Linked DNA regions of Lonchura striata. The protein of the gene in region 1 purifies or fractionates together with the protein of each later gene. This does not show direct contact. Links are inferred from orthologs where the notes say so. Each region holds a gene or a part of one and is shown on either strand. Other genes may lie near its edges.

Region 1 (7,666 bases):
GCCAAGGAAATGACATAAGAACTTGTCTTTTCACAACAGGGAACCAGGCTTGGGGAAGGAAGCGACCTTCAGACATCTCACTGCGCTTTGGTAACACAAGCTGTACTCAAAGACTCCACACTGGTGATGTTGCAAGTACCATACAGCATTTTTTTTTCTGGTTGGTAAATTGAATGGACGTGTCCTGAAGGCTGTGAGGGTTGTGCTGTACAGACTGGTTTGGCTGGGTTGGTGCTTTACTGTGGTTGATAGATTTTTATCAGATGCTTTTACTTGTTAAATTTTCCTTGGTTGTGGGAACAATCCAGCAAATAGTAAAAATGATGGAGCACCAGGAGACGTGCAGCCAAGGAGATCATTTGTTTGGCTGGATCCCTTCCTACACAAGGGAGGCTTTGTGTGAGCTCACAGAAGAGCCGTGTTCATCTTGCTGTGGGTAGAACTGGCAGCAGGCTTCAGGCTTTGTCTCCTTGCAGAGTCAGGCTGGCTTGGTTCTCCACGGAGCCGAAAACTCATTATTTCCAAGGTTACAGCCAGGCTGCTGGGAGGCTACAGCTCCTTGTGAGAAGTGCCTGTCTCCCAGCAGCATTGCCAAGGAGGCAGCCGTGCCTTTGGACAAAGGAAGAGGTTTGTGCTGGTCTCAGAAAGGAATTCCATGCTGCCTGTGAGAGCTGCCATGGGGGTCGTGCTTCTTTGGCAGTGCTGACCTCCTCGGAGAGCTGCAAAGCTGGGGGAACCCATGGCCTGTGGGTCAAAGACACGGGCTGGTCATGGTTCCACCAGCACCTGGTCTCCAAGGTGGACTGCTCTGGTAGAGGTACATATGCAAAACTGGAAACTGATCAAATGCATGTGTGGAGGATTGGCTGCAGTGGCAGGGGGTGTGATGGCAAAGGGACAGCCCTCCCCGGGGTCTCCTGGGGTGCACATCACTCCTGCTCCTGCAGCACCAGCTCCCAGAAGCTCCTGACTAGGCACTGCCTCTGGGCTCCTTGTCACCAGCTGGGCCAGGCAGGACTCAGTCCAACAGCTGGGTGCTGAAGGCTCCAGAGGGGTGCAGGCAAACACTGGCCCCCTGCTCCCATCTGAGGTACATCTGCACCACGATGGATGTTTCTCTGTCCGTGACACTACAATCTTCCTCTTACAGACTGCTTTGTCACAATCTGGATGTAAAACTGGGGGGAGCAGTAGCACCAGTCCTGAAGGCAGCTGTCCCTACAGGCATGCCTAGTTTTAGGAGCTTTGTGAGGGTGTGGAGAATCATTTGTAAGTATCCCTGTTTCTGGATCTAGACCATGGCACAGCAATGTGCTCTGACTTCTCTGTGCGAGATGCTCAGGGCCAATGGCAGTGGATGGCAGGTCTGTTTAAATGTGTGTGTCTCCTCCAAAAGCTGATGATGTGGCCAGTGATGCTTCACCACAGCTTTTTTTGGGATGAGGGATGCAAGTCAATCTAATCATATATACATGAGAAAAATCAATGCCCTGGCAAAGCCAGTCCTATTTCTGGCTAGAACATGTCAAAACTCATCTTCAAAATGCATCTTGAGTCATAACCACATCCAGTTCACAGGAGGAACCTCACTTCCTGGCCTTGTTGGGTGCAGGGATGAACATCCTTCATTGTGGGATCTTCACCACATACAGAACTTGACACCAGAAATTGAGTGGTTTGGAATGAAGAGGAGGGAACAGCATGCATAGGGCATACCCTGGAGTTCATCTTTGGATGCAAGGTGGGATGAAGATCCCATGAAAAAGCTGAACATGTGGACATGAATTAAAAGCTGTCTTCAAAGCAGTGCTTGTGTGTGTTGGCTAAGATTGCAAAGATAACTCTAACACCCTGTCTCCACACCAGGCCATGGCTGTGATGCCTCAGCCTGCCACAGGCCATGTTTCAGTAGGTTAAAAGGAGAGGCATCTGAGTGACCCAGCAGAGCCATGATGGGTGGTGGGCAAGAATGGCATCACTGGACAGCCAAGAGATTTTGCAGATGCAAAATGTGGAGTGCAGATTTTTGAAGTGTTTATAGCTCTGTCCAGCCACACACAGCTTTTCAAAGGTCAGCAGGAGACCTAGCATATCTCTGCCAGAAAATTTGTCCCTTGTCCAGAGATCTTGTCTTAATGGCTAAACAAATATTTTCCTTGACTTTTCCCAGGTGGGAAACACCTGGGCTGTTATGGCCAGATTTGAAAATAATAATAATAATAATAATAATAATAATAATAATAATAATAATAATAGTAGTAGTAGTAGTAATAGTAGTAGTAAAAACAGACCTCTAGCATTTCAGTGAAGGTAGGTAAAGCTTGGCAAACTTCCCATAACTGCAAACTGGGCTTTTTGCTGTGGGCAGTGCTGGGCAGCATTAGAAGGCAGCAGGCAGCCGTGGTGCCCAGAGCTGGGCAGCCCAGGCACCAGCTGGAGGAGCTGGCAGCAACTGGCCAGCTTTCCTGCCAGGAATCAGCCTGGCAAGCCAGTTCAATAGCCTGCCTGTGTCCCACTGGAAAACATCAAGGAAGATGTCACCAGTGATGAAATTGCTGACAACTCAGTGGACTCTACCAGGAAAATTATCCATCAGAAAAAAAAAAATTGCCATCTCTATGCTTGAGCATCTCTGCCCAAATAGTAGCACCATGTGGAAGAGAAATTCCCTTTTAGCACAGGATTTTGCTGTGGTCCCATGCAGAATTTGCTGTGAGAGATGAACATCTCAGCTGTTTAGCAGGGCAGCTCCAACCACCTCACTCTGCAAAAACAGCCACATGCACATCCTGGCGTCACAGCGCCGCTTCAGCTGGTGACTCAGGCATTGGCCTTTGCATATCTGCCATCAGCTCCAGTTTATGCAGGGCCTGACTGCTTTGCTTATGCATTTCTACATCTCCAGATCCTAGGAGATGATGTTTGTCTTCACTCCACAGTCGTGGTAGGAAGGGCCAGTCAGCTGGGCTCAGGATGGGGCAGCCTTCCCAAAGGACAGATGATCTTCCTCTTGCTTTGTTAAGACAGGTTTCGCAGGAGTGGGTGTCACATCTGCCTTTTCCCTCCAGGGCTGACTGCCCCAGAAGAGCAAGCATCATGAACATGTCCTCCTTGTTTTCCAAAGATCCTGTGAAAGTCCTGCCTGGTCTGCATTCAGTCAGGACTCAAAGTATGAAATTATAAAGTCCTCCTGGGTTTTTTCATCATTCAGTCTCAGGCACACAGAAAGCTCACTGGGTTTTTCAGTGTCTGGTTGAATCCACATGCTTATCTTTCCAGACCGGGCTGCACCCAGCCCACATGGGCTTGAGGAAGAGCTGGGGTTGGTAGCTCCCCTGGGACTCAAGGAGGTGAGGTGGATTGAAAATGTGGTGATTAGCAGCACAAACTCTAGCTGGAGGCCAGTCACTAGCACAGTATCTCAGGGGTCATAACCACATCCAGGTCTGTTGGGAAGGAGCTTTTCTGAAAAGGATCTGGTGATCTTAGCAGGCACCACACTGAACATAAACCACAGAGAAGACTAAGGGTGTCCTGGGTTGCCTTAGTCAAAACATTAACAGGAGGTGAAGAGAGGGGATGTGCTCAGCCGTGGTGGATCACCGCTAGTGCTTTGTGTCCAGTGCTGGTCCTCTCAGTGCCACGGAGATAGGGGCACAGTGGGGAGAGGCCAGTGAAGGTACACGGAGGTGAATGAGGGACTGAGAGAGGGGGCAAAGCAGAGGGAGCCAGGCTCTTCCCAATGGTGCCCAGTGCCAGGACCAGAGGCCACTGGCACACGCTGGAACACAGGAGGGTCCCTCTGAACTTGGGGAAACACTTTTTCATTGAGTAGGACCAAGCACTGGCACAGCTGGCCGTGCACGTTGTGAAGGCTCCATCCTTGGAGATGTCCAGCAGCTGTCTGCACACAAGCCAGGACCGCCAGCCCTGGGTGACCCTGCTGGAGCAGGGCTCGGACCAGATGACCTCCGGAGGAGCCGGCTGCGGCTCTGTGAGCTCCTCCAGAGGAACACGGAGCCTTTTGTTCACCCCAGCTTCCACCTTGGGGCTGGCGAGACGTGATGGGGCGACAGGAACAAGGAGAGAGTGCGACTGCAGGCGGCGATGGGGTGACAGTATACCAGGGCTGTGGCCAGGCTGAGGTGGGGTCGTGAGGGGGCAGAGGTGACGCTGTCCGCAGCGGTGTGAGGGAGTGCCGGGGGTGTCAGGGTGTGGCGGGCGTGCGCCAGGCTGCGATGGAGCAGGCAGGGGAGGCTGGGGACGGCTCGGCTGCAGAGGGTTGCCGGGCTGGGCGGCGACACGGGACGGGTGGCAGCAGACCGGGAGGCTCCGCGGCGGGACCCGGCGCCTGAGGGGCGGGCGCGGGGCGGGCGCGGCCGCGGGGCCGGACCTCCGCGCCGCCGGGGGGCGCCGCGCGGCGCTGGGCGGGCGCGGCGGCGGCGCCGCCGTTTCCGGGTTGGCTGCGCGGCGCTCGGGGCGGCCCCGCCTGCAGCCGCCGGCACCGGGCCCGGGCCTCGGCAGCTCCGCGGGCCCCGCGCCCGCCGCCCCCGGGCCGGCCCCGCCCCGCCGCGGCCCCGCTCCGGCCTGGCCCTGCCGCCCGCCGCCGCCGCCCTCCTGCGCGCCGCGCCCCGCCTCGCCGGCCTCCCGCGCCGGCCCCGCGCCCTCCTCCTCCTCCTGCTGCAGCCGCCGCCCGGCGCCGCCATGCCCGGCCCGGCCGCCGGCAGCCGGGCGCGGGTGTACGCGGAGGTGAACAGCCTGAGGAGCCGCGAGTACTGGGACTACGAGTCGCACGTCCCGAGCTGGGGGTAAAGCGCCGTGCGGGGACCCGCCCTCCCTCCTCCCGCGGGAGGGCCCCGGCCCCTGGGGAGGATGTCCCGGTCCCCCGCTCCCGTGCTGGGGTGTCCCGGGGGGCTGCGGCGGGGAGAGGCTGGGAGAGGACCCCGCTCCCCGGCCTGCTGCCGTGTTAGTTGTCCGCTCTTCCCCCAGCACCGCCTCTCTCCTCTTGGTGCCCGCAGCAACCAGGACGACTACCAGCTGGTTCGAAAGCTCGGCCGAGGGAAGTACAGCGAGGTCTTTGAGGCCATCAACATCACCAACAACGAGAGGGTCGTCGTGAAGATCCTCAAGGTGAGTATCCCGTTGATGATGTAGAGGCTTGTGGTGGCTGGGAGCAAGACAGAGAGAAGCTGGGTTGGCAGGGCCAAAGAACTGTTGGATCTCTTTCTTCACTCCAAAACTCCTGTTTTCTCGTTAAGATCATTGGGATGGTGTGTTTGGAAATGGAATTGGTGTCTTGAGTACTGTAGTGATGTTCTGATGTCTCCACCCCTCCTTGTCCAGCATAGCTCAGGGCTGAGAGTTCCTCTGGTGGGGGAGAGCCGAGTCCTGACATTTGAACAGCGTTGCGTGTTCTGTCTGTGTTTGGCAAATCGTATCTGGCAATGCCTGTCTGAAACAGCCCAGGGACAGCCATTTCAACAGGAATGTGAAGCCTGGAGGGGGGAATCCTTCTGTTAATCTCTAGACAGCCGGCATGTGGCCTTTCCAGAGCCAGGCTGTGGGATGCTCAGCAGTTTAAAAAGAACCAATATTTTATATTCAGTCCTTTAGAGGATCTGATGTGGAAAAGAGCTTCATCACAGTCATACTACAAACACTATGGAAACTTGAGGGGGCTCAAGGAAACCTACCAAACTTTGGCAGTGCTGGTGATCTGTTTGCTGGTGTGTTGAACCTGGTGGGGTTGAGCTGTGGGGACCTTTGTGCAGCACTGGGAGGTTGTAGTTTGGGATGGCTGTGCACAGGTTATACACTGCGGGGCATGTCTCACCATGTTTGACACTGAAGCAACAGCTCACAGCAAGCTGTGCTGATTGTCCTAGCAGCACTCTGTGTTGGTGATCTCGGGGCAGGCAGGGGAGTTAAGACAGAGATGAAAGGTTAGAGTTGCAGTATGTTTGATTCTGGCTTGGCTGACACTTGTGGCTGTCACTTGTTGCACCAGCAACACTTATCACTTGTTCCCCAAGAGCACGTGGGAGCCAGTGTCTGACCATGGGTGTCCTAAGAATTTGGGCACACATTCATCCACAGCATGCAGGGGGTTCTGAGCTTAATGTGCCCGTGCACCACTGAGAAGAGCAGCTTTCCGGGACATGCATATCTGCAGGGCTGTAGCCTTAAGGCACTCACTAGATCCACTCAGATGGCATGTCTGGCTGTCTCTGCTGACATTCCCACTCTCTCAGTGTGCCTGCTTCCTCGGGATCTGCCTTAGCTTCCCAAAGAACTTGTCATGGTTTGTCCAGCCAGCACTTCTGGGAAAGGTATCATCTTCCATCTGCCTCTGGGAGGAGGCACGCAAACCCCAGCTTTGGCTGTGGGCAAGGAGGTGGCCAGGTGAGCTGTCCTCTGTGGCTGAGCCTGATGTGAGAGTGGTGAGGTTCATGTGTCCTTGCCAAGCCAGGTTCCTTTGGCGTGCTCCCCCTCCTTTGGATTCTTCTGTGGTTTGGGGTTTTGTCTTTTTTAAAGCAGATGCAGGCAGGAGTTTTTGCTGTCAGACAGTAGTCACAAGTGGCAAGTGCAGAGCTGGATTTTACAGCAAGATGCCTGGTGGCTGGCCTGGGGAAACTGTGCACTTGTGCATGCTCCTCTGGAGCCCTTGGTGGCCTCTTTGGGACTGCTGTAGTTTATTGAAATCCTAGCTTGGGCACCACATAGAAAGGCACCGCAAGACTGAAAGGAGGCTGCAAGAAAAGTCATCAGAAACCCTGCTCCTTGCCTGTTCCCAGCCCAAAGAGCCTCCCCTGGGGCAATGCTGCTCTCCTTGTGGCAGCTGAACTCTGTCACAGCTAGGGAGCCTGTCAGCCTTGGACAGGGAGTCAGCTGGCAAGAGTCATCTGAGGGCAGCTGGGTGCTCCTTCTCCTTGGGGCCTGAATGTGTTGCCTTAATGCCCTGCAAGCAGGAGACTGGATTGTCCCAGATATGAAGTGGATGGTGTTGCCACTGGTTCCCCTGGCTCTCTCCACTGGCATTAAAATGCAGACAGCATTCCTGTGAGTGAGCAAGGAAAAGCAGAAGGTCCAGATAAATAAAGATGAACTTTCTCCTCCGTGGAAAGTGGGTCAGTGAAAAGGGAGTTTCAGAGCACCACGTTGTGTACATTATGAAAACCTGTGAAGTGTGGCAATAACATCACCCTGATCTGTGGAAAGTGCCTCTGGTTTCCTGTAACTAGACTCAAAACTTAATTGCAAACATAATTGCATGTATCTACAGGGGAATCTTAGCAAAGGGACTGGATGTCTCTGCTCCTCCTAACTGGGGAAAAATTTGGATTCTGTGAGATGAGAAATGCAGGTTTTTGTGTGATGCAGGGATGAGCTAAAGGGAAGTACCATGGTTGGGCAATGGATGCAGCTGTTTAGCACAGTCCTTTCTCTTTAACATTTTTGAGAGTACAATTTATGTTAGGTGTTAGGGTGAGTTTCACCAAGAGTCACTGTTTTGATATCTCAACTTCATGGAAAGTCACTGGTGTGTCTTCCTAGCCTTTGCTCTTTGAAGCAGCTTGTCCTTACTGAGCCCAAGCTAGCACATAGCAAGTAATTCCCCTGCTTTGGCATTGTAGTACCTGAACATCTTGTACCATCCTCCACAGAG
Region 2 (6,956 bases), on another chromosome or scaffold:
GCTTATATCTTTCCCTCTATTACTTATAAAGAAACATGTTGCTGTTCTTCTGACCCTTTGTCCAGCTCTGTCCTCTCCATCTGATCTTTCTCTCCAAAACTCACAAACCAGAAATTAATTGCAGCAACTCACTGAGAATGTAGTTGAAGAGATTGCAGTAATTGTAATAAGACTCAAATCTCTGCTCCAGCGTGGGCCCCCCCTGCAAAGAGAAGTCAGCAGAGTCTGCTTCAAATCAAGCAGGGCAGGAGGGAGTTCATGGGCAACAGCATAAGGACAGTCACAACAGTAGAGGGTCTGGTTCAGGAGTGCTAGAGCCAGTATTCAACCAGGACACCCACCAGCATCGCCCAGAAAACCTGTAATTGTAGCACTGCTGTCCCACAAAATAGGGATGGCTTTTCCTGTATAGGCAGATTCTCCCAGGATATCAAGCAGTCAAACATCCTGTGAATATTCTGCATTAACCTTCCCTGCTCCCCTCTGCTGTTCAGATTCAAGAACTTCACTATTCCTTCACCAGCTTTCCTTCCTTCTCTGCTCATGAGAAGCCTTAATAGATGAACAATTCTGTTTCTGGACATAATTCCTAGACACTTGACCTACTGGTTCTTGTTTCAGCTGGAGACACTGAGTCTGAAAACCACTAATGGCACAGCTTGAGAAACCAGTTTCTCCTGCTGAAGTTTGGCTTGGGCACACAGCAGGCTTTTAAAAGTGTCCATTTCTCCACCCTCTGGTCTACAATAAAACTGCAGTTATTACTTATTTACCCAAAAGTCATGCATCTGTTGAGACTTTTTCCTTTAAGAACCAAGTACTATGACTTTCTCATTGATTAAAGAGACTTAGAAATAGGCTTAAAAAAGACAAAGTTTGTTTCGTTTCACAGAGCACTATTCTTTTCATTTCCTTCTTCTCCATCCTTCATGGTATCCATGTTTCCCTTTTCATAAGGCACTCTGATCCCATATGAGGATTTTTATGACAAATAATGCACCTTCCTCTTGTGACACCCCTTCTCACTGCCTGCTCATTTGAAGAGGAAAAACAAAGAAACACACATAAGCAAAAAAAAAGGAAAATTCAGTTACCTTCCAACACCCCCTTATTCCCTAACTCACTAACCATTACATTTGCTGTTAGAAACAAAGAGCCTCCTGAACACTCAGATCCAGTCTCCTGATTCATCTGAGCTACCACAGAAACCAGCACACTCATCACCACCAAGCCTGAAGAGACAGCTAATGAGCCTCAAACAGACAATCAAGTCTTTCTTGCTTTTCAGCAGTCAGTGAATCCTTACTAAACTACCAAAAGCAAAAATTTTAATCTTCCCTAAAATCAGTGTGACTTACAGCTCATGAACCCATCCAATCCTGCCTTGCAAAGGTTAGGGGACCACTGATACTGTAGGGCAGCAAGACTTGTCAAGTTTGCTGGCACAGAGAAGCCAGCAAGCAGCCCACAAGAAGACACAGGGCCAACACTCACGCTGACTTTGGCGTAGATGTGCCTGTAGTACAGCTCCTTGTATAGGATCAGGAAAACTGCATCTGGAAAAGACAACATAAGAGGACATTAGCAAGCCACAAGGCCTAGAAGCCTTCTGCCAGAACAACGAAAGGAAGCACAAAAAGACGCTTCACTCAAGTCTGACTTCTTGCCAGGCATCTGCTGAAAGAGCTGCCAGAGTGAACAAAGGCGACCGACTCAGGCAGCAACAACGCTGTGCACCTGATAACTCAGGGTCAGGAGAAATTCAGTTCCTTCTCTCTCTGACAACCCAACAGAAAGTGGAAAGACTCACCATTTCCAACCTGAGGAGCAATGGCCTCAGCCTCTGGCCATGGAGTGTTCTTAAAAAACCTTTCTGTCAGTTTTGTCCAGCTGAAAAACAGACACACATGAGGTATGAAAATCCACGTTTCACTCAGTATGACAGTGCTGGAGTCAGAGATGACAACAGAGAGAGGCCTTGGACTTGATGAAAGCTGAGCAGCACCACCAACCCCTGCTAGTAAATCCAATGTTGAAGCATACCATGAGAATCACAAGCTGAGCAGTAAGATTGCAATTTATCTCCCAGGCATGAAACAGACATGTACGTCACTTCCACACTCCCTTTAAGTCAAGCTGCCCCAGCTACAAGCAGGAGTGGAAGCAACCGTTTGGAAGAGACACAAAAGCTGTACCTCAGGTTTTTGCAAACTGCCAGACTAACACCACTGAGAGCCCTCTTTGCAGCCTCCCTCCCTGTTAGGCCAGGGCTGACACTTCCCTTCAGACAAATCACAACTCGTCTATACTCACATTGGCCTAATGGGCTGGTAATACCAACGAATTTTTTTTCACAGTTACCAAACAAAACCCGTTTCAGAGAAAGCCCAAGTTCGGAACAGCACAGGTAGCAGCCTTCCCTTTTAACAGCATCACAAGTTAAAACAGTGATTTCCATCTGTTGGAAGTACCTGTTCTCATAAATGTCCTGGATCTCGTACACCTTCTGGTCAATAACATCACTGGAAACGCGGCTGGCCTGGAGCTCATACACCTTCTGGTCAATGAGATCTGACACCGTCTTGTGAAAATACTGAATGAAGTTTTTGATCACTTCGGGGATCACCTGGTAGGTCTGCTGTTCGTACTGGCGCTCGTAGGCCAGGTCTTGCTTGGGGTCTCCTGCGGAGAAGGAGGAGCAGTGAGGCAGCGCCGCACGGCCCGGCCGGGGCGCAGGCAGGCGCGGGGCGCTCACACTCACCCGTGTGCATGTCATAGTCGTTGGAGTAGGCGTAGGGGTCGTAGGCAGCCTGTGGGGAGAGGGCGGCAGTGAGTCCCCGCGAACCCGGCCCCGAGCCCCGCGCCCCCCAGGCCCGCGGCCCGCACCTCGGTGTCGTAGTCCTCCCCCGGGTAGGCCATGGCGGCGGCGCGGCGCGGACAGCGCTGCGGGCGGAAACGCGGGCCTGGCGCGGGGGCGGGGCGAAGGGCCGAGCGGAGCCCTTCTACTGGCCACAGCAAGTGCCTGTCTTCACCCGGGCGGGCCGGCCGCCCCTCTCTGTCTGACTGGGGAAGGCAGCTGCCCGTCAGGCTCTCTGGCCCCTGCCCGCCGCGCCTCCCCGCCCGCTCCCTGCCCATTGGCTGCACCGCGGGCTGTGCCGCCGGTGGCGTCCCGCCCCTGCCGGCCCGGCCGTGACGGGATGGAGGGCGGCGGGGCTGGCGGGGCGCCCGCCGCGGGGCCGGACTCGGAGCCGGGGCCGGACTCGGAGGCACAGCCGCAGCCGCGCATCGCGCTGCCGCCGCTCGGAGCGGACGCACCCCTCGGTTACCTGCACGTCCTGTGGCAGCGGGAGGAGCCCGCGGGCAAGATCCCGGCCCGCCGCCTGCGCAGGGCCGCCCGCCTCCACCGGCGGCTGGGCCCGACGGGCAAGGAGGCGCACGGTGAGCGGCGGCGGGGAGCCGCTGTCCCGCGGCCGAACAGCCGCTCTGCGGCCCGCCCCGCTCGGGCCGCGGCAGGCAGGGAGGGAAGGGAGGGCGGGCGGCTCTGTTCCGTGCCCGTCCCTGCCGGGGGAAGGCGCCCGTCGGGAGCGGGCGGGCCCGCAGCCCGCTTCGGCAGGAGACAGGAGAACCATTCTATATCCTGCTGTCCTGATCTGCTTCCCATTCTCTGGAGCCGGTAGCAGCCTGATTTGGCCCCCCGCGTGTGCTCGAACACCGGGGTGGAACGTGTCTGTAGGGAAACGTGCCTTTTCCCTCTGTACTTTCCAGTAATTGCTTTCTTTCCTCCATAGCTCTGAAAAGGCTGCGTGAAGCTGCCAATAGCAACGATTTGGACACAGGTAAGGCTTCTGTCAGTCCCACTTGGGACCTCTTCTTGGAAGGGCATTATCTCAAAGGCTCTTACTCCAGGAGAGGAGGAAGTGGATGCAGATAGTTTGTGGTCAGGGTGCTTTAGATGCTTCAGATGTAGAAAAGGCTTTTTTAAAATCCAGGTTTGTTCTCCAAGCAGAGTGTGGCTGGTTATTGTTTTCACTTTTTCATTGCACCTGGTTCATAGTGTTAGTTTTCCATCTGCCTGGGCCTAAATCAACGCTGTACTGTCCCAGCTGTTTTGGTATGTTCTTTTGCCCAGTTGTTAGCAGCAAGAGAATAATGTTTTGATTTAGGTGAAAAAGTTATGATTACCTAAGCCATACACTGTATGATGAGGCAGTGTGACCCAGTAGATTAGAACCAGGGCCAGAGCTGGACTCTCCTAGTTTCTGCAAAATTCCCTTGTGATCCATAAATTCTGCTTTCCAGATGTCCAACCTCAACACTACATCTTTGTCTCTCAGGCTTTGTTAATTGAAGCATATCAGAGTTAGTTTATCAAAACTTAAAGTCTTAGTAAATTTTGCAATCTGTGCTCCTACAAAATGAACTTAATGACAACTTTGCTAGATGCTGGCTAAGAGTAATAAAAGAATAACACACAATTTATAATGAATTAATATTTATTGATTATGACTAAACAATCTAATTAAAAGGTAATTAAAAACATTAGCTAAAATTACTAAAAAGTTCTGACATTTCCAAAAATTTCCCCCTTTGGAAGTGATCTTAATTTTCCTTTATGATTACTTGCACTTAAATTGTTGAATATCTAGCAAAACTTAAGACATCAAGATGCAAAAAATTTGCTTGTATTTTGTTATAAGATATCATAGATCATTAATTCCGAATGAAATTCTAAATCGGGGTATTATCTCTTTTAACAATATCTTGGTAACTTCTCTTGCTTTGTTGGTGCAAGTAGCTATCCAAAAAATGTGTCAGCTAAAACCAATATGTATCAATATCCTTCTTGTCGAGGTAATTCAGAAAAATCTGTTTGCCTATAAACTCCAGGACAGTTTTCTCTTTTTATAATCCCTAAAGGAGGTCTTTTGTAGGGCTGTGGATTGTGTTGCAAACATATACACTTACTGACTACACTTTTAATTCCTGGTATTTTTACACTAATTGCTTGATGTTTCAAGTTGTCTCTCATAGCTTCTGCTCCCCAGTGTGTTTCTCTGTGTTTATCTTTTCCTGCTTCTCTCATCACTGCTTGAGGTACTATGTTGTTCCATTTCTCTTTCTTTTGGCAATATAATATCAACTCTAAAATACCATTTTGGTGTCAAATACCATGAACTGACCATTTTCCTTGATTATCTAATAGATACTCTAGCCACCAGAGAATACATTATGCTATTACCAGTTAAAGAATTGCTTTTAAATTCTTTCCAGTGCTGCAAAATGCAACCTAAAGGCAAACATTTGCGTATACCCCTCTTCCCGGGCTCGAGAAGAAAAAGGAAAGCCCACAGTAAATAGAAATTCCAGCAATGACAAAAACACGACACGAGAGAGCGCTCTGTGCACACCAACATAACCCCAGTCAGCTAGGAGGAGCAGCCGCTGTTCTAACGCCAGGAGAGGGCTCTGAGCAAAGGACCCTCGCTTTAACAATTTACATTACCCAAAACCAAACACTTAGTACACACCAAGTACACTAAAATTCACAGTCAACATACAATGGCTTAAACACTCTTACAGCCAATGAGTTTTCATACAGACTCAATTTATGCTTATGACACACGTTAACACACACATTTTCCAACACTAACAGATACCATAGGCTTCAATAAGCAGACATATCTGGGCAAAGCCCTTCCACAACGTGGCTCTTCATGCAAGCAGCACTGTCTGACTAATTTATGGGCAAAGCAGAGGGTGAAGACTCAACACCTTTTGACTGTCACTTATATAGTTTTACAATTAGAGTTTTCCAACTAGACAGTGGGACTCAAACACAATTCCATTAATATTCACTTACAGAGTTTTACACTAACTTTAATAGAAAATAGCCAATTATATATCATAACTTTCTTAACTCTTATTATGTTAGAGAGTGCAAGCTTATGATTAGGTATACCTTTTTAAACCTTCAGTAATGTCTTAATAAACTCCCAGGATTTTTTGCCTTGAACTTGCCTGGATCAGAGGATTGAACATTTTCCCTGAAAAAAGTCTTTCAGTGTGCACCAAAGTCCTTGTTCCTGTAAGTCTGTGGAACATCAAATGCGTTGTCTCACCTGGGTCACCAGTAAATTGTTACTAAATCCTTCTAAATTGTTGGGGTAAATAAACCCCTCTAACATTTTCTTTATAGTGTTAGTGCGTAAGATGTTACGTTGTTGCTGGCCAGGAGGGATTTTTGTGGCTCACAAAATTCTGACCTCCACTCAGACTCAGATATAAAACTTCTTCACTTATTTATATTTTTTAGCAAACAAATAAATGAATGTTCATTGGTTGTAAATTGCATAATTCTCTTCTATTAATTAGTACGGTGTCCTCTGTGGGGTATTGATTTCTTGCTTCTCATGCTAGCTGGTCTATATTTTTAGTCTTTTTAGTATCTTTCTCCTCTGGTAGGGACTTTCCAACACATACACTGAGTTGGAAAGTCTTTGTTAGTCCCTTATTTATCTTCTGGTTTCTGCACAGTCCTTGTGGTCCATAAATTCTACATTCTAGATGTCCAACCTCAACCATACATCTTTCTCAGGTTTTGTTCATTGAAGCATGTCAGAGTTAGTTTATCAAAAGTTAAAGTTCCAGTAGTTTCCCCAAGCTATGTTCCTACAAAAGTACATTATGACAGCTTTGCTAAATACTGGCTAAGAATAATTTAAGAATCACACACTGTTTATAATTGTATATATAGATTATGATTTACTAGAGCTATTAATTTAAAAGTTAATTAAAATCACTAACTAAAATTATTAAAAAGTTATATCATTTCCAACAGGGAGATGAAAGAATGCAGTTTTATGTAAGTCTTGGTTTCAATCCACCTTAGATTTGATAGACAGTTTCCCATGTTTACAGTCCTCTTGTGTTTTGTTTTCTCTGCAGCTTGAGGAAGT
Region 3 (7,303 bases), on another chromosome or scaffold:
ACATACACCCTGCACATCACTCATTTAATGATACCATTCTAAAGAAAAAACTAAAGCTTCACCTAAATATTTCATACTAAAATACTTGACCTCAAGTAACACTATCCTTAGAGCTAAACAGATGGGCTGTCCTGGCTTTAGTGAATTGTATGAACACTATCAAAACCAGAGCAAAAATAATTTTTTCCCTGAAAATCCAATGCTAATCACTCTGCTGTTTTCCAAACGGCATAATCCATCTTCTTTCTACTACCTTTCCTAAAGATCCAAGAGCATCAGTGACTTGGTTTTCACTATGTCACATTACAACTCTATTTCCATGAATGCTTTGCTTTTGAAAACACATGCCAGGAGACATCTCAATAGAAATTAACATTTTTGCTTAGTAGTTCCTTCATCTTGTTTTGTTCTCCTTTACTACCTTCAATTACATGCCACGACAAGAAACTTGCCTTGCTTGCTCACCCTATCACATTGCCACAATTTTTTATTACCAAAATTAGTCTAAAGGAATTTCCGCTAACTCAATACAATTACATTTGGATAGCCAGAAAATTAATTCACTGTAGTTAAGACAAGACATTCATATTGCTTCCAAAACTACTGCACACTTAAGATTTCCTTTTGCAAACACAGATCACTTCAGAGTGTTACTAGCAAAAACTAATTTGATAAGGGACACTACCTCCTATAATCCTTGAAAAATTTATACATCAACAAAAAAAATCCCTAGTACACAAGTCCAGGATGCTGGCAATTCCTTAAATATTTTCTGAGATTAATCAACACCACTGTTTTTAGCATTGCCTGTTATAGGCTACTGGGAAGCTATTATGACCCATGAGACAGATGCATGATGAAATCCCCTCAATAATTGTACAATTAGCCAAAATCACAAGAGACTGCATTCAGTAGCTTGGCATCCATTAAAGAACAACTTAGTCAATGAGAAAAGTACCCTTTTCTTCTTCCTCCTCTTCCTCTTCTTCATCTTCATCACTTTCCTCAGCTTTGTTTTCAGTTTCAGGTTGTTTCTCATCTGTTTTTTCTGATGACATTGTATCTTCTTTTGATGAATCAACAGAAGACATGGTGTATGCTCCTGTAGAAAGAGTCAGGGGAAACTATCATCAGTAGAACAACATCCATAAAAACCACGGGAATCTTGCTTTCAAAAATTATCTCTTTGTGCAGCAGAAGCAGCGTGCTGGTACTGTGATTGTTCACATTCTCTGATCACTAAGGTGTTTGGCATACACACAATACATACAACTTTTCAGAAGAAGTTGCCATCCATCCTGCAATTAGTCTGGTTAAGAACACTCTAAGAGGTTATAAATTCTATTCACACACAAGTCTCCAAGCTGCTTTTGTGAAGCATTCGGGAACACCCACTCAAAGCAGCCGAAACCGTTATCTATTAAAAACTGCAGTGTTTTAAGATATCACTGTTTTACTGCACCCTGCTATAAACTTAATACTTGATCATGGTTAACTATGCATACAAGTTTCCTAGTAACTTAAACAAATTACTTATTTAGACTGGAAATGGGAAAAGAAACATTTTTTAAAAAGCTGCAAGCAATTCAGGAAAGAATTAACACAGCTTTCATAACCTAGACAGCTGCTGCATCTTTAGGCATGAAAATACTTCCCGTTTTAATTTGCAAATCTACAACAAAAAAGAATAAATGCTTCATACTTAGCATGTATAAGAGTCTTTTCTTAATATCTGAAGTGGCCTATATGTAAGCTTTAAACTAAAATATCTTAGTTATACACGTACCATTTTCTACTAACAGAAAACACCTATCCAATAGAGTAAGATAACCATATGTTTCATTTTTAAATTCTAGCTTTCAAAAATTTTCACCTTTTAAATCTGGAACAGAATTTCACACAATTAACAATTTTCTTTTTGCAATATTAAAACAAATATTATCTGCAAGTAATCAGGTACTATAAGTAACACTTAAATCTGCTGCTTATGTGCAGCATTAGTAGGTGCCAGAGATCAGTCGTGTTCCAAATGACAGAAAGCATGAGGTAATATTTATTACAAATAATACGGGGAAAAGTAAAGTTTCCTGGCTAAATCACCAGTGAAAAATACACCCTCCAGGGTATTACTACCAACATTTTCATTTGTAGTAAGTAATCTAGCATTTTCACGGCAATTACTGACTTTTTGAAGGCACGAGTAAAAGCAAGAGAAGCACTACAAGTTGTCTTTCTTTACCCTTTCAGTGTGAACAGAGGGGGGGAAAATAAAGTTAGAGACTTCTTAGCTTTCCACCACCTGGGCTCGGGACGACATTTTGCTTAGGGAAAAAGGGTTCTGGGATCCACCCTTACCGGGAGAGGGTCTCCCGCCCTCGGCTGGGGCTTTTCACGCGGGGACTTTCCACCTATGCCCCCTTCCCGATTTGTAAGCTGGATGCTGGGGCAATCGGAGGGCGATGCGCAGCGCCCGGTGGCGCCGGCGGCCAAGGCGCCATCGGCTCCCCGCTGCAGCCGGGCCAGGACCGCTCGCAGCCCTCCCTCGGCTCCCGCCGCAGGACACGGCCGCACCCGGGAACCGCCTCGGGCACGGGCCGGGAGGGACGCAGCCCCGGTGACAAGCGCCCCGCACACGGCGCGTCCCCGGGGGCGGGACGGGAGCTCGGCGGCACGGCGGCCGCGTTTCATTTCTGCCCGTCACAGTCCGTCCCCGCTCGGCCCGGGCGCGGCGAGGCGGGACCGCTCTCGGGCGCCGTTACGGCCATGGCGGCAGGACCCACCTCAGCACGAGCCCCGGCTCCCTCCTCAGGCGTGGCGGCGGCAGCAGCTGAAGGCGGCAATTACTGCTGGACGAGGCGGGTCCGGGCGCAGCCACACACACGCGCCCCGCCGCGGCGCAGCCCTACAGCCAGCGGCCGCTCTTGCCCTTTCCCTCTCCTTCTCCCTCTTCCCTCCCTCCCGGAATCAACAAGGTTTTCAAAATGGCGGGTTCTCGGGCGGCGAGGAGGAAGCGGGAAGGCGGCAGCCAATCAGCGCCCGCGGCCCCGCCGGCGCGGGGAGGGCGGGGGAGGGTGCGCGTCACGCCCGCCCGCCCGCAATGACGCCAGGCCGCTGAGGGAGCGGGCCGCGGGTGTGAGCGGCGCGACGTTGCGTTTTCCCTTTTAACACTGGCGCTGTCTTTAATTGAGGTGGCTTAGAGAAAAAAAAAAAAAAAGCTTTAAAATAAGGAATCCGCACCACTTATCCTGCCTAAATTGGGCAGCGATTAATATATGCTCCCCAGACTTTCGTTTTGTACACTGTAGTGTTTCCCAGTACCTCTGGCACAGGTTGCCCGGAGAAGCTGTGGATGCCCCATCCCTGGAAGCGTTTAAGACCAGGTTGGATGGGGCTCTCAGCAACCTGGGCTAGTGGAAGATGTCCCTATCCGCAGCAGGTAGGCTGGGACTAGATGATCTCTAAGGTCCCTTTCAACCCAATCCGTTCTGGGTTCTTAAGTATTTAGTAGTGTTCGTCTTACACATATATCCTACTTTTACTACTAGTTCTACGTAACTACGCTTCACACGCGCCTGCGATGAACCATTCACAGGAGCGTGGCATCCTTCCCACTTCCTCTGTATTGCTCCAGCGCGGCTCCTCCCCGCGGGGCTGGAGCGAAGCGCCCGTTCCCTGCCGCGGTCCCGTGCGGGGGGTCCCTGCCGCGGTCCCGTGCGGGGGATCCCTGCAGCGGTCCCGTGCGGGGGGTCCCTGCCCGCGGTCCCGTGCGGGGGGTCCCTGCCGCGGTCCCGTGCGGGGGATCCCTGCAGCGGTCCCGTGCGGGGGGTCCCTGCCGCGGTCCCGTGCGGGGGGTCCCTGCCCGCGGTCCCGTGCGGGGGGTCCCTGCCCGCGGCCCCGCGGCGGCGGCACGGCCGGGCCCGCGCCGCTGCAACGGCCGCTCCCGGGCGTTGCGGCCAGCGGGCGGCAAGGGCTGAGGAGAGAGGTCGCCTCTTTGCTCTTGCAAAATGTAGGGTCTCAGGCGGTCCCCGAAAGAAACGAGGGCCACTCCCCGCTCTGTGGCCCGAGTTCAATTCCTAAGTTAATCTTGGTGGCCAGGCTGGTCTTCACGTTGCCGTCAACAGGAGTTGGGAGTACGCAGACGGTTTGTTGCAGGGAAGCAGTCCGAACTAGCCAGTGCAGGTGACTTGTCTAAAAGCCGTGTTATCCCAAGAGCACTTTCTTAGGTACTGTGAGTAGCTGTAGGTATATGGCTCTTACTTTGGGAGGTAAAGGGAGGGTAAAAGAGAGGAAATGAAAAGAGCGTCACACTTCTGTGAATTGTTCATCTTAGATGGATGTAAAACATAGTATCATAAAATTGGTAATAAACCCAGGAAATATATGTTACACAAATATTACAAAATATTTATAATCAAAGAACAGATTGGGTTGGAAGGGACCTTAAAGGTCATCAGGTGCCAATCCCCCTGCTGTGGGCAGAGACACCTTCCACTAGCCCGGGTTGCTGAGAACCCCGTCCTGCCTGGCCTTGAACACTGCCAGGGATGAGGCATCCACAGCTGCTCTAGGCAATCTGTAGGATACAGATATTAGGAAATACTACAATTTATATGCTGTGTACAAAAGGATAATCTGGGGAGGGTGTATTAATCACCATCCAATTTAGGCAAGAGAGATGCAGATTTCTTATTTTAAACCTTTTTTTTTTTTTAAAGCCTGTGCAAACACAGACGGTGGTCATTTTATAAGGAAAAATGTAAATTATTTACCAACAATATATAATTAGACAAGCTTATTGTTAATAAGGAGACAAAAATATCATTGGGCCATGGGCTACACAAATGGCACGAGACAGATGTTTGAAGACAACAAACTACTTCCTTTAAGATGAATAGGTTTGGATTAATTCAGAATTGTGACAGAAGACATCCAAAGGCTGTGCTTCGGGTTGTGATGATAAATTAGATCGCCTTTTGTAAAAAGGGATGTATTTACCCAATGGAAATGATTTGCCTAACTGAATTATATATGTTGATATTCTATACATGCCACATTAGATGCACCTTCATCTTGAGGAGAAATAGAAGATAATGGTTTCATTGATCCTTTTAGTGAAGTCATACCACTTTAGTAGCTGACAGACCTTTAAACATAAACCAAATCCAGTAATTTAGGAATTTATATACTCGGTGTAGGTAAATTTCATTTTGTCACAGGTTCCTCTGGCAGAATTTCAATAGCTATGATAACTTCTATTGATTGTGTTTTTTGAAACCTCTGCCCTTCATAGTATCTTTTTGATTTACAGCTGTATGGAGTAGTTTCAGTATGTTGTCAACAGTTTAATAATTGGTTGTTGCATCTCCCAGATAAGACTGAGACAATATAGGTTAAGCAGACTTCAGAAAAAATATGTAAAGCTATAATTTGGAGAAGGAGGTGACCAATTTGAAAAAAAAAAAAAAATCAGACATGTTTTAAAGGCAAATTTCTAAATTCAAAAAAATACTTTGAAACTGGTTTGTCTTCTCATTTTGACTATGAGTAAGAATGCTGATTCTCAATATACTGCTTTGGGATGATATTCTGTATCCACACTTCTATATTGCTGTCTTCTCCCAGTCTGAGGAAGTTCACTTAATTATATTATTTCAGGTGAGATTTGAAGGACCTGGGTGGGATAATGATATTGGTATAACATATTAACATTATCTAAGGTGTTTAGACATTGTAATGAAAGGTTCTAAATGCAACCTAAAAGCCTTGGTCCTGGAAGAAGGACAATTGGAAGGGGATAAGTAATTTTAAGTGGTTCCTAAGAGCTGCTTCCTATAGCCTGCTCCCCTTATTCCATCACAGAGAGCGTGCTTCTCTACTGTTAGAGTCCTATCCTAATGTTAAGGACACACTGAGTTTTGACAGCTATCTCCGTCTGCAGGTGCCAGTTCTATGAAACACAGTTCTTCTGGAGGTACCTGGGCTCACTTTTAGATATCAAAGGGTACATTTCTTAGACATCATAGCTCAGTAGCATTAAACAGTGAAAACTGGTTTGAGGGGACTGTAAAAAGGGGCAGCTTCGTGTTTCAGCATACATTACAAGCTTGTATTTTATGCTGAAATGCACCAGAGAGTGCAGTTTTAAACATGGTCACCAGCTGCTGTTAATTAATAAAAACAGCTCTTTTCAGTTAGTTCAGAGCAACTTGTATTGGCAAGCAATGCTTATTGGCTCTCAGTATAAAGTATAAAACAACCTATGAGCAGCTTTTGGGAGCAGAAATGTAGGCTTCCCTTTACAAAGTCCCCCAGGGCTGCCTTTATTTGTTTCCAAAGTGACCTGTCACTGCAATGTCCTGCCATCAGCCCAGAAACTGGCAAGTCTGCTGTGGGCAAAACTACAGAAAAGGCCATCTGTGGATTGCAGACAAAGCGCCCTGCATCAAAGTAGACACTAAGTACCTCTCATCTGGAATTTTATCCATAGAGTAAAATACCACAACAACAAATGATGGGATGCTACTTTTTTAATAATGTGGGTACTGTTGCTTTGTGTCCTTGTATGAGTCAGTTAAATCTATATATGCGTGTGTGTGTCCACACTTCAGGGTTTTTTAACAGTCATGTGACAAGGTTTCCTAGAAATGTCAAAATGCCTGGCCTATGAAATTCTGAGGAAACTGTGCAAATGCCAAGTACATCTTTATTGCTATTAGGAGCAGTGTGTGGCTTTTGAATCTAAGGGTTGCTTAATCACTGCTGAAAGCAGGAATCTAAATATGAACTAATAATTGTACTAATTAATACATCTTAAAAGATAAGAACTTGAAACCTGTTTGGGTAGTATGCAGTTAAGTTGTGATGTGATCAATAACATAAGCTGAGAATCTTCAGGTGTTCACTGCACAGCTGTGCAAGTTATTTATTGACTGATAAGAACACTAAGTTTGCACAGTGTTTCCTAAGGGGATCCTGCATCCTACATTCATTTCCTTTTTTATACCCCATCTAAATGTTTCAGGACTAGCAGGCTATTATATCCATCATCATGTTTGTCATGCCTGACCCTTTAAGAAGCTTAAAGAGTTGTCCCTGTAAATACAAATACGTGCAAATGTGAAATGTGTAATCAATATGAAATCAATATAAGCAGATTCACTATACTTTAGAAATCCCCTTTTGTGCCATGATTCAGGGTAAGTATGTGCAAGATTCAACAAAATTGTAAAGTACAAAGAAACATCAGAGATAGACAATGAATCAAAGTAGGATATAAAGACATGCTTTTCATCTGTGTCTGAAT
Region 4 (7,938 bases), on another chromosome or scaffold:
CCCCCCCATTAAGAACTCACACCTCTGCTGTCAGCCCTCAGCTTTGTGACACCAATGTTTAGGTTTTCCCTTTAGAGTCATGTTTCCTTCTAGGACAGGAGAGTTAAAACAACAGTTTGTTGAGGTTTTTTTCTTAATTTTTTCACATTCAATTTCAAACTCTGAAAATCCTCCCATATTCAACAATCAAGTATAGTCCTAAGACTAAAAAAATGAATACACCTGCAGAAAAATAATCTTTTTCCTTTATCTTCACCAAGTGTTTCCTTCCAAAACATGCAGCAATGTCAGAAACATAGGAACTGCATCTCAGCTTCACTGTTTCAATATATATATATATATTATTCCCCAAGAAACAGTTAGTAAGACTCATATTTCTATTCTCTCATTAACTGACAGGCACTACAGACAGTCTTAAATATAATTTTCCAGATAATTACTGTGTTCTAAGTTTAATGACTCCCATCATGAACTATAATCTATGCTCTGTTCTTAGTCTAGCTTTTGCTTATGGATTTCTGTTTATTCTGCTAAGAAACCTAAGGATTCCTAACTCCTGTTCTTAATTAATACACATAGTTTGTATTTCTCCCATGAGAAACTCTTATTTGTGATAACAGAGTTAAACCATGCTTGCACACTTATTTTCATTTGGTGGACATTGCCACATGAAGCATTACAAAATGACAGGAAAAGCATCTAACAGAGAAGCCTGCAACACTTCAATGATGCATTCTTGGCCAGGAAGAGATGTTTAATTTGGACACATCAAATTAAATTTTTTTTTCCATGCTCTCTCATTCAGTGGGATTTCACTTCCACAGGGCCTCCAAGCATTACTCATGACTACATTTTGCAGTGGGCTAAGGAAATGGAATGCCATCTGCAGAACACAACAGATATTCACACCTACAACCATCACCTTCATGTGAATGCAAAGCCTCTTTTCTCTGAGCCTGTTGTGTTGCTGGTGTTGTTTTTTTTTTTTGAACCTCTCCAAAGAGAGGACTTCAGTTCACAATTTCGCATCTTCTGTGCATGAACCAACATACTTTATTACATTTTCTATTGAGAACAGCTAAGCACACTACAGCACATGACTGCAGGATGGTGAGAATCACATATGGTGTTGCATTTGTCACTATATACTTGGTTATTACTGTAGTGAAGAGGTCTTTCCTCTAAAAGTAGTGGTATTTCCACTGTGAACTCACATAGCAACGAGCTGTTGCAACAGGAAGATCTCTGCTTTCATCAGTGATCTTCTCCCCCTCTCCTCAGGAAGACAGTGAACAGCTAGCACACGCTGCCATTCAGTACAACTCTCTCACCCTGTAATTACTCGCTTGCTTTCTTTCATTAAAGAGGCCTGTTTGAGAATTTTCTATAACACTGGCTACTACAAAAGGAGCAAAAGAAATGTGGGTATTTAAGCCCAAATCAGGCAAATCAGAATATCATGCACTTCCACAATTAAAGATATTTCTGCTTTGTAGATAAATAACTACTGTCTTATCAGTTCATGACATAGATGTCACTGCTCACAACTGACCTACTGAAAACTTGAAATCCTTTGTCACCATTACCTACCGACCCACAGTGCTACCTTAAACAGACTGTTCAACTTCACTGAAGCTTCTCCTCTGTCTGGTACATACAGCCAAAGCATTTCCCCATGATCCTTACTTCAGGCACTGTGCTGTTTAACACAGTCTAACAGAGCCCAGGCTTGATGCACAGACTTTGGGCAAAAACTACTGAAACATCCACAGAGGTAAAAAATTCATGGGCTATGGATGTGTAGGAAACAAAAGGAATAGTGAGCAAATACTACAGGCTGCTCTGTCGGTTTCATGAGACCGTTTCAAAATTTGTAGTCTGATCTCAAATTGCACACTGACATTCTTACAGGCTCGTTACTCAGCAGCAGACGTAACCCATGCAAACCCGACACAGGCGTACAGGCTGCGCTCCGCCAGCAGAAGGGAACACGCTCTTTGCTCAACTGCCCTGATACCCGATTTCTGACGATCTTTGGGCTCTACACTTTTAACCTGCCATGGCGGCTATTTAAAGATGCAAAGCTGCGACCTGAACCCCGTAATGCCCAAACCATGTGACACCTTTACCAGACTCCTAATTTTAACGCAGACCAGCGCCCGGCCGGGAGCTCTCCCGGAGCCCGGGCCGCCCGTCCCCGCAGGGTGATGGAGCACTTCGCAAATGGTGCAGTTCTGCCGCCTTACCACACCAAGCCCTTCCTCCTCCCCTCCCCCGCGCACACTGGCAGCGGACACTTGCCGAAGCGAACAGCACGGACGCGGGACGAACTTGGCCAGTTCCCACTGATAACCGGGATTTTTCCCAACTGCAGCACATCCATGCGACGCCCGCGCGGTGCCGGCGGCAGGAGCGGAGCTACTCGGGCTCCGCTCGCAGCACCGTCCCCTCCCGGGCACCTCCCGCCCGCTGCCGCCGAGCGGAACCGCGGGGCCAAAGGGCGGACACGGGCTACCGCAGGCGCCCCGCACGGCCCCCGCGCATCGTCCGCGCCCGGGCAGGGCGCTGCAGCCGCTCCGCGCCGCACACCCCACGCTCCCGGGGTAAGGCGCTCCCGGCCCCGCCGGGCGAGGGGCGGCAGCCGGCGGGGGCTCCCGGCGGCACGTGCCTGCCCCAGTCCCGCCCGCGCCCCCGCAGCCCCCGGGTGCGATGCCCCAGCGCGGCGGGCGGGCTCGTGTGGGTCGAACGGCGGCGCTTACCGAGTGGTTGACCCCCCACATGAGGACGCTGAGCAGCGGATCGCTAGCCCGGAACAACTTCACTTTTTGCGCCACGAAGTGCTTTTTCTTGGTCTTGGTTTTACTCGCCATGACGGGCACGATGCTGCTGGGGGCCGCCATGGCGCTGCCGGCGGCGGAGGTGGAAGGGGCTGGCGTGGGGTAGAGCGGCGGGCGGGCAGGAGCGATCAGCGCCGCAGCCCCGCGGGCGAGCGGGCGGCGGGCGGGCAGCCGCGGGACGCCGGGCGCATCCCGGCCTGGCGGCTGAAATGGCCCCGCTCGGCGCGGCGGCCCCGCCCCGCCCCCCCCGCGGGGAGCGGCCGCCGCCCGCCCGCCACGCACCGCGCGCCCGCCCCGCCCCCGCGGGAACCGCGGAGCGCCGGCTCTGCCGCCCCGCTGCGCATGCTCCCCGCGCGCGGCGCCTGCGCGGCCGCGGGCAGCGAGGCGGGGGGGCCGCCGCGCCGCCCTCCCCTCAGGGAGCGGGGCCTGCGGAGCTGGGCGCGGGCCCCGCCCCGCCCCGCGGGAAAGGGGCTGTCGGCCGCTGGCCTCTGGCCCTCACGCCGTCGCCAGTCCTCTGAGGAACCGAGCCTCCCATCGCCCTGCTCTTTAGCGAGCTGGTGGCTCACGCCGTAACTTCGTACAGCTTGTGTGATTCCAGTTCCCTCTGCCAGCGATCTGTAGGAATGAGAGGGATCTCTGCGGCAGGGCTGTGCCTGCTGCTCCCGCCCCAGCTCGGCTCCCTGAGCAGAGCGGTTCCTGCAGCCGACGTGCCGCAAATACAGAAAGCTCGGTCCCCTGCAAGACTATTGCACCGCTGTGACCTCGCTGTGCTGTTACACCCCCAGCAGAATGTTTCTTGATCGTCTCCATGGCCACAGAGGATGTGGTCAGTGACAGGTGACATCCTGTAAAGGCACATCTGCCCAGCTCAGAAATATCGAACACCGCGTAAGTTTTGCTCCACTGTATGATGAGGAACTCAATGACATCTGTTGTCACTGCTCGGGGCCAGTACCCACGGGTAACACAGAGCATACATCTCCTGAGCCTTTACAGTAAGTCATACATCAGCTTCTGAATAACACAAACTGACCTGCCTGCTGTAGATCTTGCTTTGTTCATCATCTGATGCTTCAGCAAGGTGACCAGATCCTTAGGGAGAAGCAAGAGCAGGGCAGCTCCATGAGGTGGACAAACCACAAGTGAGGGTCATCCCACTGCAACCAGTGCTCTCAGTGACAAGGCATGGATGCACAGGGCCCACACTTGGTGGGCAGGGTGCTGGCAAGAGCATACATCACATCAGCAGTCCCAGAGAAGCTGAGGTGATGAACCATGTCCATCCAGGAAGGCACAACGTAGGCACAGGTTCTATCCAGGGCCAGAAACAGAGGTGCAGGCAAGCTGCCTACGAGAGAGGCCCAAGGTATAACCAAAACACAGAGCTGGAGACAGGTATACCTACAACATAGCTCAGGCAGAGACCTAAACTGTGCCCTCCCTGAGCTTAAGTGGAGGTCCTGGGCAGAATGTGTTCCCAGTGTGGCTGTTCAGGGCAACTAAGATCAATACCTGAGTCTGGGACCCCAACACAAGCTTACATAAATTTAAAAATGTGTTGCACGTCCCCATTTCTCTTTTGCCATTGTGATCTCAACAGCAAAGTTATCTATCATGCTGGAATCTAAAGCAGTAATGTTTAATCTCCCTCCTGCATTGAAGCAGTTACTGGGATTTATTATATGGTCCCTTGTCTTCATATTATGGAGAGTATGATAAAACAGAGATGTATTTAATTTTCTGCTCATTTTTTGTTTTGTTTTTTTTTTTTTTTTCCCCCAGCAGAGTTACTTAGGAGTTACAGAGATACTCAACTGTAATTTTTGTTCTTGAAAATGGATTCAACAACAAAAAAATCCCTTATGTTCTGCTGCAGTCAATGGAAGCAACTGAGTCGTCAGCACCTTTGAATAAAAGCAGGTCACTTAGATGCCTAAATATAGATTTGAAGTCAGACTTTTGGAAGAGTTCAGTACCCATTTTATCCCTTACATTACACTTAGAACACGACATCTGAGCACTGTGCAATGCTACGCACATCAACATGACTAACATCTGCCACACATGTGTCTTTCTTCATCTTTCCAGAGCAAATCCCTATAGTTAAGCATTTTGGTTTATAAATAATTAAAATTTTAGTAGATTTTTTATAGGGAAGGTTGAAGAAGGAAGTTGCTCTTTTTTCCAGAAGACTTTCTTGTCATATTGGCATAGATTCTAAGGAGCTCTTCTCTGCAAATATGAGTTCTCACTAAAGAAGGTGGTTTTATCAGAAGAACAGAGGATGTTGACAATAACAATTACAGCAAAATTTTAAAAATTCAAGGGCCTGGGCTATTTACATTACAAAGTCTGAGGCAAAGATTTATCCTCTTCAGTTTTAAGTGCCACAAACAAAGATGGTTGCCTGTACTTGCCTTTCCTGTAGGAACCACTGTGGGCACAGGTTTTCCACTGAATCCATGAGACAGATGCAGCTGAACTCAGAAGTCACTTGAAGAGACAAAACTTGATTACATTTGCAGTCTACTCTTCTCTTGGGATGTCTTTCCCTCAGTTGTAATCCTGTCCCTTAAAACAGAACAGAGGCTGAGGCCCTCCTGCCAATGCCCACAGTAAAAAATTTCACAGTCCATTTCTTGCAGCCTAGACCTCCCTTTCAAACCTCTTTTAACTCACCATCTGCTGGAGCTCCAGGGCTCTCTCTCCCCCAGTTCTAGCAATGACCTGAGGGAAAATGTCATTTTATGCTGAGTCACAATGCAGGGTCCCCAGCCATTGCCCGCACCAAAAGATTGTCACAGCCACGTTCTTCTCATGTTCTACTCTTTCCTTTGACATGTTCCCTTTTTAAGCTCCCTCCATCTGCAGCTCTAGGCTCTCTCTGTCCAAATGCCCACCTTAACACTAACACAGATCTTTAGACCAGGTCCCCCAACCAGTGCCCTCAATAAAATATTCTCTCTGCCACATTTGCTCTACCCCACACTGTAGAGAGCGCTGAGCTCCAGGACGGTTTAGGTGAATGAGGATGAGACATCTCTGAAGGCTGCTCTTGGGTTACAAGGTTTATTGGGGATGCAGAAAGGTCCTGCCTCGAGCTGCCAGACCAGCACGTGGCGAGGCTTGAGAGGATGGGGGAGGGGAGAGACAAAAGGATGCTGTAGGAGAGGGGAAGTTCCAAGAGGAGGGGAAGTTCCAAGAGAGGGTCTGGCCCCTCGGAGACCCCTTATTAGGGGGCTTCAAGGTGGGCTGGAACAAGGCTCGGGCCAATGGGGTTACAGGCACTTGATGTTTTAGGGGAGGATTACAGATGCGAGGTGAACCATACATTTTAGGGGCTGAGATGGAACAGTCCACTTGACCCCTGGACCCATCCGTAGGCAGGGGCATTGTCCGGCTAGCTGGGAGGACTGTTCTCATCCTGGCTGTATTATTTATGAATAATTATATTTATCCATCCTTTCCAACACCACACCTTTTTTGTTTTTAAGATCTGCTTTGTACCTCCATTCCAGCTGCAACTCCAGGTCCTCTGTGTCTCATAGCTCTAACGTTAAGCCTCAAACAAACCATATGCTGGGCTTTGGATATGGTGCTAGTGCCCACACCAGGAAGTTCTTGCTGCCAAGTTCTTCTGGCAGCCTACACTTCCCTGGGACAGTCACTTTCTAGCCCTGAGCCAGCTGCAGCTGTTGTCTCTTTCCTTCTGTCAAACATAACCTCAAACCTCACCCTACACCTAGAAGTTATGTTGAGCCTTGGACCAGGCCCCTCAGCCATTGCTTCCACCACCAAGTTTTGGCAGGCAAGTTATCCCTGTGGCCCAACCTTTTCACTATCAGCTGCTCTCAAGCTTCCCTTCATCTGCAGCTCTAGGGTCTCTTTGGCTCCTAGCACCAGCCCTAACCCTCACACAAGCTGTATGATGGACTTCAGACCAGGACTGCAGAGCACCAGTCATATCAAAAAGTTCTTGCAACAAAGTTCTTCTTGCATCCCAGGTGTTTTAAGGCTGCGGTACTACACTCTCTTGTCAAAAATAACCTTAAGAGTAGGCTGGGCCTCAGACCAGGCAGCCCTGCCAAGTTCCTTTAACTTAGACTTCCCCTTAAAAGCCCTTCTCTAACTCTCCTTCTGCTGGAATTCTAGGCTCTTTCTCCCATCCTTAACTCTAATCCTGATGTAAACATAATTAAATGCTGTCACCCCCTCTTTTAATTCCCAAGCCAAAACAGTCTCCCAGCCAAGTTCTCTTTGCAGCCCACCTCCTTTCTAACTCAACTCTCAGTGCAACTCTGGGCTCTCTTTCTTTTAACCCTAATTTTAACCCTAGCCTCTGCTGGATTTGCAAGGCAAGGTTTTGGTTGTGCAGGGAGCTATAGGGGTGGCCTCTGTGAGAAGATGCCAACCCACGCTGGAGCAGTCGGCTCCTGAAGGGCTTGCATCCTGTGGAAATGGCCCATGCTAGAGCAGTTTGTGAACTACAGCCTTTGGGAAGGACTCATGTTGGAGAAGTTCATGGAGAACTGTCTCCTGTAGGAGGGACCTCACACTGGAGCAAGGGAGGAAGAAGGAGAATGGAGCAGTAAAGACAGTGTGTAATGACCTGATCACAGGCACCCATTCCTCCACTGGGGGAAAAGATAGATAAAATTGGCAGTGAAGCTGAACCTGGGTAGGAGGCTCCCCCTGTCCAGTTCAGGAGGGGAGTAATAGCGTAACTTGATGGGCACTGATATCCAGCCAAGGTCAACCCAGTCATATCAATAAACCCAGCCTAAGGCTGAATCCTGGGCTACAATTTACCTTGGGCTAGGTCAAACAGAAAACTTATGGGAACAAAATTCTCCTTCTTCCAGTTATCCATTCTTTCACAGTCCCACTGCAGCAGAAGCTCAATGACTCCCCCTCCCAAGCCTAACCCTGACTTTAATCTCAGAGGCTGAGCTTCAGACATGACCCTCAGCCACTGCCCAGAACAAGAAGTTCTTGAAGCCAATTTCTCTTTGCAGCCCACCTTTCACTTTGAGAGCTCTTTTCTAGCCTCTTCCAACTGTCTAGCCTTCCCCATAGGTTTCTCTTTCTCAGCCTTAACCAT

Evidence for each region.
Region 2: the proteins of CSNK2A2 (region 1) and EIF3L purify together in Homo sapiens (affinity purification with mass spectrometry; 3 studies listed by BioGRID and IntAct, with this or other methods). This does not show direct contact. The link is inferred for Lonchura striata from reciprocal best matches to the Homo sapiens genes CSNK2A2 and EIF3L.
Region 3: the proteins of CSNK2A2 (region 1) and DEK purify together in Homo sapiens (affinity purification with mass spectrometry; 4 studies listed by BioGRID and IntAct, with this or other methods). This does not show direct contact. The link is inferred for Lonchura striata from reciprocal best matches to the Homo sapiens genes CSNK2A2 and DEK.
Region 4: the proteins of CSNK2A2 (region 1) and PIP4K2A purify together in Homo sapiens (affinity purification with mass spectrometry; 3 studies listed by BioGRID and IntAct, with this or other methods). This does not show direct contact. The link is inferred for Lonchura striata from reciprocal best matches to the Homo sapiens genes CSNK2A2 and PIP4K2A.

The regions. Positions count from the first base shown.
Region 1 is NC_134615.1:17,523,615-17,531,280, reverse strand, and holds the start of CSNK2A2 (casein kinase II subunit alpha'), read left to right. Parts: upstream 1-4,665; 5' UTR 4,666-4,704; coding exon 4,705-4,808; intron 4,809-5,018; coding exon 5,019-5,130; intron 5,131-7,666.
Region 2 is NC_134607.1:23,541,833-23,548,788, reverse strand, and holds the start of EIF3L (eukaryotic translation initiation factor 3 subunit L), read right to left. Parts: upstream 3,017-6,956; 5' UTR 2,920-3,016; coding exon 2,887-2,919; intron 2,811-2,886; coding exon 2,762-2,810; intron 2,683-2,761; coding exon 2,472-2,682; intron 1,891-2,471; coding exon 1,811-1,890; intron 1,557-1,810; coding exon 1,495-1,556; intron 203-1,494; coding exon 133-202; intron 1-132. Other genes in the region: ANKRD54 (ankyrin repeat domain-containing protein 54), read left to right, coding at 3,198-3,438, 3,789-3,836. UniProt on the Homo sapiens protein: Component of the eukaryotic translation initiation factor 3 (eIF-3) complex, which is required for several steps in the initiation of protein synthesis.
Region 3 is NC_134603.1:88,781,484-88,788,786, reverse strand, and holds the start of DEK (protein DEK), read right to left. Parts: upstream 3,010-7,303; 5' UTR 2,781-3,009; intron 1,103-2,780; 5' UTR 1,092-1,102; coding exon 959-1,091; intron 1-958. UniProt on the Homo sapiens protein: Involved in chromatin organization.
Region 4 is NC_134603.1:138,985,323-138,993,260, forward strand, and holds the start of PIP4K2A (phosphatidylinositol 5-phosphate 4-kinase type-2 alpha), read right to left. Parts: upstream 3,018-7,938; 5' UTR 2,901-3,017; coding exon 2,760-2,900; intron 1-2,759. UniProt on the Homo sapiens protein: Catalyzes the phosphorylation of phosphatidylinositol 5-phosphate (PtdIns5P) on the fourth hydroxyl of the myo-inositol ring, to form phosphatidylinositol 4,5-bisphosphate (PtdIns(4,5)P2). Has both ATP- and GTP-dependent kinase activities.